2 linked regions of the Cricetulus griseus genome follow. The protein of the gene in region 1 interacts with the protein of each later gene in a biochemical or structural test. Links are inferred from orthologs where the notes say so. Each region holds a gene or a part of one and is shown on either strand. Other genes may lie near its edges. The genes, in order: Gprasp1 and Oprd1.

What was found.
Region 2: the proteins of Gprasp1 (region 1) and Oprd1 form a complex in vitro, tested with the Homo sapiens proteins (2 studies listed by BioGRID and IntAct). The link is inferred for Cricetulus griseus from reciprocal best matches to the Homo sapiens genes GPRASP1 and OPRD1.

Annotation. Positions count from the first base shown.
Region 1 is NC_048604.1:44,563,517-44,571,946, forward strand, and holds the end of Gprasp1 (G-protein coupled receptor-associated sorting protein 1), read right to left. Parts: intron 8,201-8,430; 5' UTR 8,120-8,200; intron 7,847-8,119; 5' UTR 7,534-7,846; coding exon 3,589-7,533; 3' UTR 3,219-3,588; downstream 1-3,218. UniProt on the Homo sapiens protein: Modulates lysosomal sorting and functional down-regulation of a variety of G-protein coupled receptors. Targets receptors for degradation in lysosomes via its interaction with BECN2.
Region 2 is NC_048595.1:21,093,429-21,102,300, reverse strand, and holds the start of Oprd1 (delta-type opioid receptor), read right to left. Parts: upstream 5,759-8,872; coding exon 5,535-5,758; intron 1-5,534. UniProt on the Homo sapiens protein: G-protein coupled receptor that functions as a receptor for endogenous enkephalins and for a subset of other opioids.

The sequences.
Region 1 (8,430 bases):
GTGTGTGTGTGAATAAGGGCCAAGGAACTAGAAAAAGGTCCATAGACAAATGGGCTTTAAACTAGGGGAGGTAGTAGAACATGAGTGATGTGAAAATGGAAAGGGAAGTGGTGACAGTAGAAGGTTTAAGTGGGGAAGGAGTATAGCAGGATGGAAGAAAGGATGCTGTAGCACGAGGGTCAATCAAAACTAAGTACATATGAAAAGGCCACAAGGAAGCTTGTTAAATCCTAAGCAACTTCCAGAAGCCATGATATTATTAAAGTAAAATTCTTGTGCCATTGATGGGTGCCTCTCAATGAGTTGTTGTTGGCCAGGGAGACTTGTGCATCCTTCTTCAACACAGGCTATCACCACTGGGGTTGTTGGAACTTGCGCCGTAGACCAGGCCGGCCTCAAACTCACAGCGATCCACCTGCCTCTGCTTCCTGGGATTAAAGGTGTGTGCCACCACTGCCTGGCTGTATTTCTTTTTTTGAGGCAAGGTCTCATGTAGCCCAGACTGGTCTCAACTTTGCTAGGTAGTCAAGACTGACCTTGAACTACTACTGCCCCTTCTAACCCTCCAAAGTGCACACCCATATGTATTGTGTCAGTTATGGTCAGAGAGGTGTAAAGAGTGAGTGAAGTCCCAAGTGAATTGTGTTGCTGATATGGGCATGGCCATGCCTAAGGACCCCAATGCCTTAATTCCATGAGAGTGACAAAACCTTCCCTGGGTGAGGCTCAGAGGAGTGATGATAAAGCTTTCCTCTAGTTTGAGTGTGTGCAGAAAATGTCCAGCATAACTTTCTCCCATGGATGTTTACCTCCCTTACAGAGACAGCTCTTTACAACATTAGCTAAACCTTGTTCAGATATGTTCAATAATCCCGACTCCTTGTGTATCCATATGTAATAACTCCACTGTATTTGATAGTCCTGCCTTCCTATTCAACTGTAATAAACACACCAAGCTTCTGGGGTACTGTAGCTACTCCATCAGAAAAGCACAACGCACCTGATTCTAGCTTTTCTGTACTCACATTTGTCCTTTCTTTACATCCTCATCACTCCAGTAAAGTCCCTGGAGCCTTGCAGAGCACATCAGCTTCTTTTTGCACTGAGCAACAGTTACTGCAGAGACTCCTAACTGGTTACAGTGCTGAGAATGTCACTGTTGAATGTCTGTCCCTAAATGGGACATCTATGTCACCCCATCCAAAGCTCAGGAAATACTGTATAAAAGGAGACAAGAAGAATGTAAGAGCTGGAGGAAGGGGTGTTGTGAAATGCTGTCTTCTGGGCAAGACAGGACTATTGCACTCTGGAACTCTTAGAAGCTGTGGTCTTTTGCACAAGATTGGCCCTTTGACATTTCATTGTAGAGGGGTGTTCCTGTTAAGGCCTTGCCATTCCCTGAGGATTTAGTCAATTAATGGTTGCTTGGGGGAGGAACTTACATGCTCCCATGCCTGTCTGAGGTTCCACAGCCAGTTAATAGTTGCTGGGGCCATGAGAGGTATTTTTATCCATGGTGTAACCACAGCAAAGTTGACCGTGCTCCCATAAATAACCTTAATTAAACTAACCGGATCATCAGAAAAAAAAAAAAAAAAAACAACTTAAAAGGTGGGGGTAGCCAGTTGATTAAAAGAAAGGGATCACTGGAAATAGGAGTGGAAGAAGACAGTAACAGGGTTAATATGATCAAAATGTATTATATGCATATAAGCAAATATCATTAGGAAACCCATTATTCTGTATATGCCAATAAAATATCTAAAACGTTATATATTTCCCTATTTTGCTATATATTTCCCCTTATGAGCCTATGCTACAACCTTCATGAATTAATGATACATTGTGTGGGACTGGAGGTGCAAATCAGTCTTAAAGTGTGCTTTCTTATCATGCATGAAGGAAAGTTCAATCCCAGTGTTGCCTGAATCTGAGTACAGCCACCCCTAATCCTAGCATTAGAAGTTCAAAGTGAGTCCCAGGTACACACCAAGGTTGAAGCTAGCCAGGGCTACAAAACAGCCTGTCTCCAGAAACATCAACAACAAAATAGTGTGGAATGAATTAGTAAACTTTGATAGTTTTGCAGATAGTTTTTGTTTTTAGATAATTTTGTGCTCTGATTGACAACCCAGTTCTGAAGTTGTGTCATTATTCCTTTGATGTTTTGTATATGTAACTGTAGAAATTTCATAAACTAGTAACATACTTTGAGTAAATTTGTCCCACCTACATTTATGTTTTAAATGTAATTAATTATTCTTAAATTTTTATTTAAAACCTTTTTTCATACAACAGATTTAATCATATTTTCTTCTTCCCCCAACTCCTTCTAGACTCCTCCATTATTTCCATATACACAATTCTTTACAAATTATTGAAAGGGTCATGGCTTACTACATTTTAAAATCAGTGGTTAAACACTTGACTTCATGTGTTGTGTATGTGGTATTATGTACATGTGTACATGTGCAGAGGCCATATGACTATATCAAATTTCTTCCTCTATTGCAATCACTTCATTTTTGAGACAGGGTCTCTTACAAAACCTCAAGCTCACAGACTGGCTAGCCTGGCTGGCCAGAAAGCCCCTGGGACCTTCCCGTCTCTGCTCCTGAGAACAAGGGTTAGAGATATTCACAAGCATCGCTGTATTTTTATGTGGGTGATTGGGGTCCGAACTGAGGACATTAGGCTTGCCTAGCAAGCACTTTATACTGAGCCATCTCCCCAGCTCTAATACCACAGGACAGTGTCTTATCAAGTGATAACAAAACCATTATGATTTAATTATGCACTTGACTGAATTAAAATGTTGTGCTTACTGGTGTTATTCTTTTACACTCTGCATTGCACTGGTTGTATTTTGAACACAGTATTTTGAACAGCAAAGTTCCATTTGCGCTTCAAAACTTACCTCATTTTCAATATATTATTTTCAATTTGTACTCCTCCCACCTAGTCCAAGAATCTGGATATATAAATATAGATGCACTTTTTCATACCCCACACTTTCCCTCTCACCGTAAGTTGAATTAGGGTATACCTTAAAGTGACTCCTCTCGGAGGTATGCTCCGAGTTGCAGTCCATTCCAACTTTTCAGATTTAATGCTGAGAAAAAGCTTTTGTAACAAGCATGTTACTCATACAATATTTGTGTGCATGTTCATGTGCCATCTTTGCATCTGTTATTTTATAGTGAAGGGGAAATTTCTGCTTGCTTTAACATATAACTTTATTGAAGCACAAGACTCACTCAAATAGATACACATGGGCACAATTAGAAGGGTATCTTATTTACAATGGCTCAGTTCACTTTAAACTCACATATTGAACAGTACAATCAACAAAACAAGTATCATCAACAAATGTGTTCTCAGTTGTATATTCATTTGGCATTAGGAAAATGATACAGCTTCCACAGAGTTGGGTAAAATTATCACCAGCATTGAAGAGGTACACTGAAACACGGAATCAGCTGTGAAACCAAAGCATTACTTGAGGGTCGTTATGACTTGGGAACACAAGGACAATCATAGGCAAATGGTTAAGCATATTAAATGGTTTTGTTCTGCTTCGGGTGATTTTTAATTGTCAGGTTTGCGTTTTAGTGTTTTAGCAAAGTTTTCAATCTCATGGAATGCAGAAATAAGTGGGTCAAGATTCACCACCACCTCCTCCTCCTCATCATCATCATCAGCAAACAGGGCTTCTTTCTGTATATTTTTGCTAATCTTGTCAAATATCGCAAGAACAATTTGAATGTTGTCATTTGAGTCCTCCTTACTAAAGAGGGTCATAAATTCAGACATGGACTCAGTAGCAAGCAGTCGTTTTGTCATGATGAGATTTTCAGACAAATTCAGTAGCAATTTCAGAACATGAAACCTTGTTTTGGTATTGCCTGAATTCAGTAAGTAGAAGAACCCAGCCAAATACTTGCCAACCACTTTGTGGTAGTCAGAAGTAGCACTGAGGTGGGTAATCATTGACAATCCAGACAACTGCTCGGGGGAATCCAAGTCATAATCAAAGGTATCCTCACAAACCTGACACACGTATGTCTGAATCACATTTAGATCTGGATAAGGTGGAGCCATGCTAACCATATCTTCCAAAAACCTTGTCCTAACTCGGGTGGACGGATAGTTAAGTAAGGCTTCGATAAGTGAGACGACACCCGAGTTTCTAATGAAATCTCGGGTAAACTGAGAAGCGCTTCTCATGCCCATTGCAATTTTAGATATTTCATGAATGAAAGGGTCTCGGTTTCTGTCCATCAGTAAAAGAAGTTCCTCAAACTCCTCAGAGCCAATATTAAGCTCACACTGTATGCAGCTACAGGACCAGCTCTCAGGGTCTGCACTTTCCCTGACCTTAAGATGCTCTCGAATTTCCCGGACTGATCGGTAAGAGGGATCATACTGAAATGGAAACCCATTTTCAGACTGACATGAAGATTCCTCCTCTCCTTCTTGCTTAGGTTTCCCCCCAAACATTTCAGCAAACAGACATGCTGCTTCTTTTGGAAACCTGAAGGGGCTTATGGATGGGAAACCAGCCTTTCCCCATGGACCAGGCTTAAACTGAACAGTGACCTCATCCCAGCTCTGGGGTCTGCGGGAAGGATCAGGTTCCTGCTCAGCTGAAGACTTAGGCTTGCAAACGGCCTTGAATACAGGAGTAGGATTTGATTCAAAACTAGCTTCATCTCCTTCCCAGAACCAGGATCCCACTATGTTTTCAGCTTCTGCATTAGATTCACAGTTATCTCCACTGCCAGCCTTGTTAATCACCTCATCTTTTGCACTTGACCTAACCTCAACATTTGGCCCTTTCTCATTTTCTGGCTTGGACACACGGTTTACTCCCGCTCGTACATTGTCCTTTTTGGCAGCCCAGATCAAAGACTGAAAAATTGCCTCCTCTTCAGTTTCTGACCCAGTTTCGATTGTCTGCGACCCAGCCCCTACTTTGGCTTCTTCGGTCCAGAACCAGGACCCACTAATTTTTCCCTCCTTAATACCAGGAGTGGACTCAAAAGTGCCCCTTCTCATTGCCTCAAGACTGGCCTCTTCCTTGCCCCAGAGCCAGGATCCAACTGTATCTTCCTCTTCGGATGTTATCTTGTTCTCTTCATTAATCTCAGTTGCTGGCTGAAATCTGTTCTCATCCCCAGCCCAAAACCAGGAGCCAATGATGTCTTCCTCTTCAGCTTCTGGCTTGGATTCCTCTCTGTTGGCAGCTTCTACAACAGTTTCTTCGTTTTCCTTCCAGAACCAAGAATTGAGTATGTTGTCCTCTAAAGTTGGTAGCTTGATCTCTTCTCCGGTCTCATCATCTATATTTCCCTCTTCTGCAGCCCATAACCAGGACCCTGCAATGGCCTGTTTCCTTGGATAATTATTGGACCAGAGCCATGAATCAACAGTGTTCTCTTGCTCTCTCAGAGTAGACTTCAAGATTTGTCTATTGGCATGACACAAACTGGGTTCTTTTGCCCAGAAGTCAGACCTTTTATTATTTTCCCCAGCTTCTGCCACAGGCTTGTATCTGGCCCCAGCTGCATACTTCATATTGGCTTGTTCTCTGGCCCCAAGCCAAGGAGATATAATGGGCTCTTCCTCATCCTCCAGGCTAGACTTACTGCTATCGTCAATGTCTGCACTATTGTCTACTTTAGCCCAGAACCAGGGCCCAATTATGGGCTCCTCCTCAGCTCCTGCCATGATGTCAGAGCAAGGTTCAGTCCCTAAATTTTTTTCAGACCAAAACCAAGGCACAAAGATTGTCCCTTTTGCAGATGCTGGCCTGGCCTGTTCTTCAACCTCAGCTTCTGGATTGACTTCCCTAGCCCAGAACCACGAATCAGTAACTTCTTTTTCCCCAGACTTTAGCATCTTCTCATAACTGACTCCAACAGATCTCAGGGAGTTCTCGCCAACACCCCAGAACCAAGATCCAAAAATGGACTCGTCCTCAGCCTCTAAGTTGATATCTTCATCATCAGCACAGAACCAGGACCCAACAATGTTCTTTTCCTCCTCATTAGCTACAGGCACAGACTTAGAGGTAGGCTTGGGCCCATTTTCCATACTGGTCTTCTTTCCAGAGCCTAAAGAGAAAGCCCTAACTTGTTCCTCCTTAGCCCTTCGTCTGGGTTTACAACAGGTCTCAGAGTCCACACTGGTTTCTTCTTCACTCCAGAACCAATCTCCAACAAAGGGCTCCTCCTCTACAAGTAAGCTGGCCTTGGGGCTTACCCTATCTACCATCCTGGGCTCCTGGGTATCCCAGAACCAAGCCCCAATGAAGACTTCCTCCTCTGCCCTGGCTTCTCGTTTGGTAGTTGCTCTGGCCTTGGTTTTGACTTCTTCCTTTGGCACTGCTCTGGTTTTGGGCTCTTTCTTTGGCTTAGACTTTGACAAAGCACTAGCCTTATCTTCAGGGAAGGAGCAGGACTCTTTTTTGTTTGTATCTACAGATGCAGATAGGCCGTCACTGCCAGCCTCTCGCTTGGCCTGGTGCCTGGCCCTCGTATTCATCCCTTTCCTGGCTCTGGGTTTGGGTCTAGATTTGGCATCTTCTCCAGACCAGAATGAAGATTTTGTCTGATTTTCACATTCAGACCCGGAAGAGGATTCAACACGGACTTCTTTCTTAGGCCTAATCCAGGACCTATTATTGGGCTCTTCTCTGGGCCTAGACCAGACTTTGGGCTTTTCTTTGGCCCAGAACCAGGGAGTCTTAGCAGACTCCTCTTCAGAATCAGAACTAGAAATATTATATAGCTCTTGTTTGGTTTTGTGCCTAGGCATGCTATTTGCCTCTTGTTTGGGCATATGTCTGAACCTGGTATTACTGGGCTTCATGTTTTTCCTAGGACGAAATCTTGCACTAGTTTCATCCCTATTCCAGAAGGAGGAACTTCCTGAGGGTTTGTCTGCCCATCTGAAATCAGAATTCTCATAAGCCTCTCCTTTGGGGGTAGGCCTGGGACGGTACCAGGACCCCATACTGGTTCCCTCCTCTGAGCCAAAGGAAGGCTGGTATCCTGCTTGAGAATTAGCCTTCCTAGGAAAACTCTCAGTGTCCATATGACCATGTTCTCTATCTACAGACAGGCACTTCGCTTGAGCAACCATCCCAGAATCAGTATTGACCAGTGGAGAGTCTGCAGGATTGATCTGACATTGTTTGCCCATTTTTGACATGGGCTCTGCCCGAAACCGATTTGGAGCCCAGACTTGGGCATCATTCTTTGATCGTGCAATAGGGATGGACTTGGGTTTGCATTTAGCATATGCCCCAGCTGGTGCACTGGCTTCACTCCTAGGTCTGGGTGCAGGAGTAGTCTTAGGCCTCACTTTGGGTCTTGCTCCAGGCATTATCTGTGTCCTAACCTTGGGTCTGACCACCATTGGGGCTTCACTCTCTCCCTCAGCACCATTGGTATTGGTATTGGCATTCTCATCCCCAGGCTTACTCTCGGCCTTTGCCTGGGCACCAGGCTCCATCTCTGCCTTAGTCATAGTATATGTTAGATAAAACCCCGATATATACCAATTAACAACAGTAAACCTTCACTGCAGATCTGTTACAGGGCTGATCTTCACAACACTCTTTGGTAAGTTAGACTATGAGATCTAAAAGAATTAGACGAGAGTGACAATCCAGCACTCAACGAGGCTCCTACCCAAGCAGTCTCAGTCAATAACACAGATACAGTGCAGAAGAGGTGAGGCCAAGCCAGGGGACGATGGACAGGTCCTAGGTGGGTGCAGATCTGTTGAGTGCACTGGTCAGCAGCAACCCCAGCACCACCAAGCAGCTACTGCAGGTGATCTAGAAAGAGAAAAAAAAGGAGGAAATCAGTCTCATACAATTCTGTTGCCTCCTGTAGCAACTACACAGAGACACTGGTGCATAACGCTGAGTGGAACAGCTCAGCTAAGAGAAAACCTCTATGTTCTTTTGCCCAAGGGAAAACAGGTGCAGGGTTGAGGAAATAGTATACACCCTAGAAATGAAGATAGAGAGGAGCCCCCGAATCTCACAGCAGTCACTCTTGGTGATCCCTACTACTCCCACCTAAAAGTGAAGCCCTCCCATACCAACCTTCGCCGAGGTGGTGCAATTCCCTCCTTTTGATGCGTTCAAGCGATGTTAAGACCAACAGCTGACAGTGGGGGGGAAGTCCTGCAAAAGGAAAGGGACTTTAGTGCCTGCCACATAGGCACACATCCCTGGGCCCAAACAAACAACAACAAAACCATGCCCACTTTCTGTCTAAAGTTGCTGTCCCCAGTCCCAGCTCTTTTCCTGTGGATCACAGACTAACTCATATCTACCTCTCTGAAAGGGAAGAAAGGATGTTGTGGCAGTGAGCATATTTAGGGGACAGTAAAGACATCAGGCACCCACTTGAG
Region 2 (8,872 bases), on another chromosome or scaffold:
TCTGGAAGAGTAGCCAGGGCTCTTAAGCACGGAACCATCTCTCCCGCCCCACACCAGTTTCTTTTAAAACGTGTTTCCCTTTTCCCTTTGGTTTTGTTAATTTGAAACAAGGTTTCAATTCTGTGTCTCAGGATCGCTTAGCAGACAAGACTAACTCAAGGCCAGTGTGCGCCACAGAAAAAAACCCCTCTATCACCTTCACACACAGAATCTTACAAAATCCATATGCTGCCCAGAGGTGGTTTCTCACGCCTTTAACCCCAGCACTTGGGAGGCAGAGACAGGTGGATCTCTTTGAGTTTGAGGCCAGCCTGGTCTACAGAGGGGGTTCCAGGATAGCCAATGCTACACAGAGAAACCTTGTCTCAAAAAACAAAACAAAAAAATTAAATTAAATTTTTAAAAAATCGACATACCTGAGTCCTGATTTCCCTATGTAATTCTAATTTCACAAAGACAAGTGTGTGTTTATGTATGTGTCTTTGTGTCCGTGTCTGTGTGTGTGTGTGTGTTTATGTGTCTGTGTGTGTTCCTCTCTCTCTCTCTGTCTGTATGTGTGTGTGTGTTTATGTGTCTGTGTATGTTTCTCTCTCCTCCCTCTCTCTCTCTCTCTCTCTCTCTCTCTCTCTCTCTCTCTCTCTCTGTATGTGTGTGTGTGTTTATGTGTCTGTGTGTGTTCCTCTCTCTGTATGTGTGTGTGTGCTTATGTGTCTGTGTGTGTTCCTCTCTCTCTCTCTGTATGTGTGTGTGTGTCTATGTGTCTGTGTGTGTTCTTCCCTCTCTCTCTCTCTCTCTCTGTATGTGTGTGTGTGTGTGTTTATGTGTCTGTGTGTTCCTCCCTCTCTCTCTCTCTCTCTCTCTCTGTATGTATGTGTGTGTTTATGTGTCTGTGTGTGTTCCTCTCTCTCTCTCTCTCTCTCTCTCTCTCTCTCTGTGTGTGTGTGTGTGTGTGTGTGTTTCTGTGTGTGTTCCTCTCTCTCTGTGTGTGTGTGTGTGTTTCTCTCTCTCCTCTCTCTCTCTCTCTCTCTCTCTCTCTGTGTGTGTGTCTGTGTGTGTTCCCCTCTCTCTCTCTCTCTCTCTGTGTGTGTGTGTTTATGTGTCCGTGTGTGTTCCTCTCTCTCTGTGTGTGTGTGTGTGTGTGTGTGTCTCTGTATGTGTGTGTGTTTATGTGTGTGTTCCTCTCTCTCTCTCTCTCTCTCTCTCTCTCTCTCTCTCTCTCTCTGTATGTGTGTGTGTTTATGTGTGTGTTCCTCTCTCTCTCTCTCTCTGTGTGTGTGTGTGTGTGTGTTCCTCTCTCTCTCTGTGTGTGTGTGTGTTCCTCTCTCTCTCATGTGTGTGTGTGTGTTCCTCTCTCTCTCTCTTTCTGTGTGTGTTCCTCTCTCTCTCTCTCTCTCTCTCTCTCTCTCTGTGTGTGTGTGTGTGTGTGTGTGTGTGTGTGTGTGTGTGTGTGTGTGTACAGAAGCAGAGATGGGAAAGAAATGCATATAAATGACTAAGCTTTTCTCTGCAGTAGGATTATGGGTAATATCAACCTCTGCCAGAACATCTCCTTAGGTCCTGAAGTAACTATCTAGTTATCTTTATTATAAAAGAAAGCTTCTAATATTGACCTGATGAACTTGCCCTGTAGCACCCACTCAGAGCTCTTCCCATGCTTAATAAACATCAATGGGGTGAATGAGAGGTGAGCCTTACCCCTCCCCCTCACAGCCAGACTTCACAGAAATTGCTTCTGAGACCCTTACTAAACACCTGGTGCTGGTTCATGCTCCGTGATCTCCTCACACTCATCCTTGGAGGGTCTACCATCCTCCCATTCCACAGAGCAGAACACTGAGGCACAGAAAGATTAATGTACGGATTGTTTAAGCTCACTCTCTTAGAAAATGTCAGTTGGCCCTGAAATTTGGGCTTGCAGCTTCTGGGTCACCCACTGAGGTCTCGGAGATTTGCACAACCCTGACCTCCACTCTGCATGCGTCTCAAGAGTAGCATAGGCGGAGTGGTTAACGCTGGTTTGGGGGCTCAGAAAGACCTGAGTCTATGCTGGGCATGCTTGTCTGTAACCCCAGCACTTGGTGTGGCAGAGACAGGAAGAGGAGAAGTTCTAGTTCATCCTCAACTACACAGCAAGTTGGGGACCAGCCTTGGCTATAGGAAACTCTGTCACAGAACAAAAGCTGAGCTTGTGACTCCACTAAACTCCTCTGTAGTGGGAGGCCTCTGTACCCATGTCCTCGACTATGAATGAGAATAGAAAGTCCCACTGCAGAATTGTGGTGCAGGTTGGAGAATCCCTAGAGCCCAGGAGAAGGCTCAGGAAAGACTTCGGTGTCCTTGGTGACTCCTCCTACTCACCCCGCTGTGTCTGTGAGTCATACACACTCCTCAGGGAATGATCCTAAGACCTAGGAAATGGCAGATTGTGGGTAAGGCCAGGAGGCCCTGGCTGCTGCTCACTCTGCCCTCTCCCCGTTTGGTTTCACCCAAAGTCATCAGTCCAGTTTCTGCCTTCCTGTCAGGTCTAGCAGGCTTGAGTTGCAGAGAGGCCATGGAGGCTGGAGACAGGGGTTTTGGTTACCTGCCCAGGGTCACAGGGCTCCTCCCGTTGCCTGGCACCAGCCTCTGATTCCCCCCACACTCACTCTCTGCCCACCTCGTCTGCTCCAGACTATACCAGATCTATACTCTTGACCACCATTCTTCACAGATGTCCCCCTCCCCAGACACCCCTAGACTTCCCAGCACAGCTGGCCTTAGCATGGAGCCAAGAACCTGTCCAGACTCCAATTCCACATCCAGAATAGCAGTCAGAGCCCCAGCACACTGCCTGTTCCTAACACAGCCACCCTGGCCTGTCTCCAAGACTCTCCTCAACTTCTCACTCCTTCCCCATTTTCCCGCCCTCCCCCAGATCAATTCCTTCTGTTGCCTGGGGTCTATAGAACCCCTCCAGCGTCTACACCTTTTTGGGCATTCTGGAAGGCAGAGGCTAAGTTGACAGACTCATCACCAGCCACTAGGCTCTAACGAAGCTCAGGACATAGCAGACGTTTCCAACAACCCCAGAGAGAGGACCACCACTGCCAAGGCTTTTTATGCCTTTATCCTGCAGCCTCTCCACCTTCTGGCCACCCAGACCCCAGACGAAACTCCTGGCTCTTTACCAGATCTCTCGATGTCCTTCTGCCCCACCCACCTCACCACAGAGCCCACTGCAGCTGCTCCTTCACCACTCAGTCCAGGCATCACCTCCTCTGGCTAAATCAAGTCCCTGCCCTGAATCCCACAGCCCTAGGATTTGATCCTGAGGTAGCCTCTAACCTTAGATCCTTGAGTATGGATGTTAAGAGCTAGAGGCTACCTGAGGTTTGGGCTCACTCACGCTCTGGGCATCGAAAGCTCTGACGGCCAGGCATGATGGTGCACACCTTTAATTCTAGCACTCGGGAGGCCAAGGCAGGTGGATCTCTAAGAGATGACTGCAAAGCCAGCCATGTTCTGCATAGTGAGTTTCAGACCAGCCAAAGCTGTGTCAAAAACAAAAACAAAAACCTAAGGCTGGACAGGTGTAGCAATGAGTAACAACAGTGATTTTAATTGATGACTGACTAAATGTGCACGTTTGCAGGGCAGGAGACAGGGCCCAACATGGAAACTATAGACAACTAATCCTCAACAGCTGCCCACCTGCAGAAGCTGCTGACGTGCTGGCCCAGCCCCCAACACACACGGAAGGCCTAGTGTACTCCAGGTGCCTGCTATGAGGACATTCCCTGCATCACTCTGTTAAACCTTCCCAACAGCCTATTGTAGTCACCATACTTTTTCAAATGAGGTAAGGGAGGCTCCGGAAAGTTGAGCTTTTTGGCCACCACCACATCAGTCATGTTGAAGATGTTAGAAACTGGGCACCACACCACAGCCATGACCTTTACCTCCACACTGCCTCATCTTTCTGGAGGGTCTTCTGACTGGGAGTAAAAGATCTGAACCCCTAATCTGAGCAAGAGGGGGGACAGAGGCAAGCGGCCATACTGCATCTCTCTAAACAACACTGGGCTTGGTGCTCCCAAGTCTCAAAATTGTGGTTGAGAACTCTTCCCAGCAGCCCCAGGGAACCTCGGCAGAAGACAGAGGGGACAACCCAAACCTTTCATACTGCAAAGCCTGCTATGAACCCTTACCTCAGTATGAGAGAGAAAAAAATGCTTTACTAACGTCACTGTGCCCCCAGGTACAGTGAATTAGAGACATTTCACTTTGTTAACTTAGGCAGTACTCAGTGTTGCACATTGGTGGGCAGGTGCTCTCCCATTTAACTCTACCCCAAGCCCGTTGTCCTCGACTGGCCTCCAGTTCTCTATGCAACCAAAGATAACTTCTGGCTTCTGAGCCTTCTGCTTCCATACCCACAGGGCTGGGATTACAGCCATGGACCACCACACCCAGTTTATGGTGTGTCAGGGATCGAACCCAGGGTGTCACAAATTTACACAAGCTCTACCCACTGAGCTACATCCTGTGTCTCTTAAGCCCTTGTTTGCCTCTCTCCTGTCTCTTCTCTCTCTCTCTCTCTCTCTCTCTCTCTCTCTCTCTCTCTCTCTCTTTCCCATCACCACCCTGGTCTTGCTGTATCCTAGACCTCAAGAAGGATAGCCTGCCCTGAATCATAGACAGAGTTCCTGACCACATGACCACTGTGGAAGGGAAGAGAACCTATGGCCAGTCCACAGGAACCATGGGGCTCTCTATTAGAGAACACACAGCTTAAAGACAGGTGCGCAAAGCCATCCTGGATGTCTCCCTCACCTAGGAGCTGTAGAGGCCTGACAAGAAACAATGCAAATACAGTCTCATACAGAATCACAAACTGATGTTTTGGGACAAGCCCACACTGCCACAGCAACCACAAATGATGACAACCAAATGTGATTTGTGGAGTGTCCCTGCAGCATGGATCTGTCCCTGCTGTATGCTCCGAAGACCCAAGGCATGGTATAAAACACCTCAGCCCACCCCTGTGATGTTTCAGAGGACCACACACACACACACACACACATACACACACACACACACATACACACACACACACACACACACAGACACACACACACACACACACACACACACAGACACACACACACATCACACACACACACACACACACACACACACACACACACACACACACACACACACACTCCTCCTGTCAAATTGCTGGATCACAAACTGTGTGTGACAAAGTGTTGCCAAACGGCCTCACTTCCCGGATGCAGAAGCAAAGGAATGTCAAGGATGATTAATTGTGATGTAGTTAGGCTAGTGCAAGAAAACACACACACACACACACACACACACAGAGAGAGAGAGAGAGAGAGAGAGAGAGAGAGAGAGAGAGAGAGAGAGGACTTGGCCTCTGTGCGGGACATGCAGGAGCTGGGAGACTCGGGGTTGGGATCCGGGTCTGCAAAAACGTAGTGTCCACACTGACCCTGGGACCAAACCCCACGCGGGGCCCTCGGCTAACTCACCGGACGATGCCAAACATGACGAGCACGTTGCCCAGCAGCCCCACTGCGCACACAGCCGAGTAGAGCGCGGTGATGGCGATGGCTAGGGCGAGGGATGAGGCGCTCCGGGCGCCCGGCGGCCCCGACGCGTTGGCGCTCGCACTGGGAAAGGCGCTGGGGAAGGTGTCCGAGGCGTTGGCCAGCGGGGACTGCAGCTCCGCGCGGGCAGAGGGCACTGGCTCCATGGCGCCGCCGCGTCCGTCTCCACCGTGCGCCCTGGGCGCAGGGACCCAGAAAGTGGCGCACGGACAGCGGAGGCCACGGCCCCGACGTCGCAGGCTGCAGCGCTAGCTCCCGCCTCCTCCGCCCAGCCGGCCGCCCGCTGCGCTCGCCCAAGCCCTGGGAGCCCCGAGCCGCCGCGTGCACCACGTGGCTCGGAGGCGGCCGCCAGTCTGAGCCCGCGATCGGGGGCGGGCGCTGCACCACCGGCTCGGGGGCTGGGCCGGAGAGGCCTCCCGCGTGCTCCCTCGCTGGGTTCCGCCTGGCGCCCCCAGTCCGGCCTGGCCTCCCGCACCACCCCGGTGCCACTTTGGAGTCAGAAGAACCTGGATGCGAATCCCGCCTCCCGCCTCTGCACGGACGAGGGGTGTAACCTTGAGCGAGTCGCTTAAGCGCTCTCAAGTTCATTCTCTGTATCTGCAAGATGAAGAAAATCACCCTGCCGTCTTGATAGGGTTTGGGGGAGATGAAGACGACGGAGTAAAGAACTCAGATTTCTTTCCTGCGACTCGATGTTCTGTGCGCTCTCTACTCTTCTCCATGTCTTCTCCCAAAACAATCAAGTGACTCCTGACCAAGAGGCAAAAACAAAACCGTCCGGTTCCCCCAAAAAGATCCTAATTAGATTTGGTGATAAAAATCAGCTACAACCCCAGGGAGAGACACTGGAAATGAAGGACCCACCTGAGTCTGTAAGGCCTTGCATAGGAGATGGCAGACGTGATGCCATCAGGGTGCCTGGCATCTCACCACATCAAGCTGAAAAGGTCACAGCTATCAGGAAAGTTGAGTATCCTGATAACTTTCCTGTCTTGGAGCTGTGCTCTGAGCTAGCTCACTGCTTCCGATGTAAGTGAGCGCTTTAGAGAGAGAAGGAGAGATCTACCAACACCCATTAGCAGCCATGTTTTTCTATATCCATTCATTAGCTCCACAGATCCTCGGAGGGTGCCTCATGTAAGAGGCAGCACAGGGGTGTCCGGCTCCCAAGGGCTTCCAGCTCAAAGGGAGAGCCACACACCAATTCTAAAACTCACGCTCAAGTCCTGCTTGAGGAAGGGGATGGGGCTTGAGGAAGGGGATGGGGCTATGAAACGGGGGGGGGGGGCCCTTAGGATAGGTTTCCTAAGGAAATGACAGCTGAGGTGAGGTGTGAATTTAGGAGTGAGGGAGACTAATTTAGGGAAGAAATCAGGAAGAGCATTCTAGAAAAAGGAAACATACACGAAGGCCCTACAGTCAAAAGGACTGAAGCCACCCAGGGCCTACAGCAGGTGGTGTGTGAGAGAATGGGTCTCTACGATGGACAAGATCTGAAAGGTCATTGCGTTCAGTTTCTTTATTTGTTGGCCTCAATTTGACTAAACATATCTGGGAAGAGGGAATCTTTTGTTTTGGTTTGGTTTGTTTCTCAAGACAGGGTTTCTCTGTGGCTTTGGAGGCTGTCTGGAACTAGGCAGGCTGGTCTCAAACTCACAGAGATCCACCTGCCTCTGCCTCCCAACTGCTGGGACTAAAGGTGTGTGCCACCACGGCCCGGCTCGAAGAGGGAATCTTAATTGAGAAAATGCCCGATAAGATTTGCCTGTAGACAAGTCTGTGGAACATTTTCTTTATTACTGATGTGGGGGTGCAAATGCCACCCCTGAGCAGCCACTCCTCGGCTGTATTAGAAAGCAGGTTGAGAAAGCCAGTAAGCCGTGTTCTTCTGTGGCTTCTGCCTCAGTTTCTGCCTCCAAGTTCCTGCCCTGAGATTCTTAGAGAATGGGCTATGATGCGCCCATCAGGTAAGCCAAGCAAACCCTTTCCTCCCCTAAATGCTTTTGGTCCCGGTGTTTTATCACAGCAATCAAAAAAAAACCCCTAAGACAAGCAACCTAAGAAGGGCTGGAGAGGTGACTCGGTGGCTAAGAGCACTTGCTGTTCCTGCAGAGGACTGGAGTTCAGTTCCCAGCATCCACATGGTGACTCTCAACAATCTGTACTCTAGTTCTAAGGTTTTGTTTTGTTTTTTAAGATTTATTTATTTATTATGTACACAGTGTTCTGCCTGCATGCATCCCTGCAGGCCAGAAGAGGGCATCAGATCTCATTACAGATGGTTGTGAGCCACTATGTGGTTGCTGGGAATTGAACTCAGGTCCTCTGGAACAACCAGTGCTTTTAACCCCTGAGCCATCTCTCCAGCCTGTGTTCTAGGGGTTCTGGCCCTCCCCTCTTCTGGCCTTCATGGACATTGCATACACATGGTGCACATACAATCCTGCAGCAAAAATTCAACAAACAAAAAAAGATCTCCCAGTGTGGTGGCACACACCTTTAATCCCGGCACTCAGGTGGCAGGGGCAGGCAGATCTCGATGAATTCAAGACCAGCCAGGTCGACTCAGCCTGTTCCAGGACAGCTAGGGCTGCGTAGTGAGACCCTGTCTTAAAAACAAGACCACCTTAAGGACCACTTGTGCTGTTAGAAGAGCAAATGAGGGAGTGGGGGGTCATTTAACTGACTCTTCCTTCCCACACCCATTCTCCAGCCCAGATCCTGAGCCATCCTTTTCCTTAAGGTTCCCAGACATTCTAGAACATTCTCTCTACCAAACTGTTGCATGCCTGGGAACTCTATTTCTAGTCAGACAGAGAGGACAAGGACAGACCAAAGAAAAGATCTATTTAAGTCTAGTTTGGCTACTTGCTTTAGCTGCTTATAAGAGCTTGGGTGCGGGGTTACCTACTAGAGGAGGAAAACCTAGAGCAGGTTCATCACCAACAAAAGCCCCATGCACTCGTGGATGATGACTTAAGGGAAATCCCTGGCACAACTCTTGGGCATCTACAACACTGAAGAGTCTCCACTCCCTAGCAACTCTTTGCTGTTTATTTGCCCTGAGCCAAGAAGCTCAGCATCTGTCATAAGTTTGCTGGGCTTCCTACATTTTTATTTCTTATGAGTCTGTTCACACATGCCCTCCAAAGAGACATTTTTTGTTTTGTTTTTCAAGACCTGTTTCTCTGTGTTAACAGTCTTGGCTGTCTTGGAACTCACTTTGTTGACCAGACTGGCTTCAAACTCACAGAGATCCA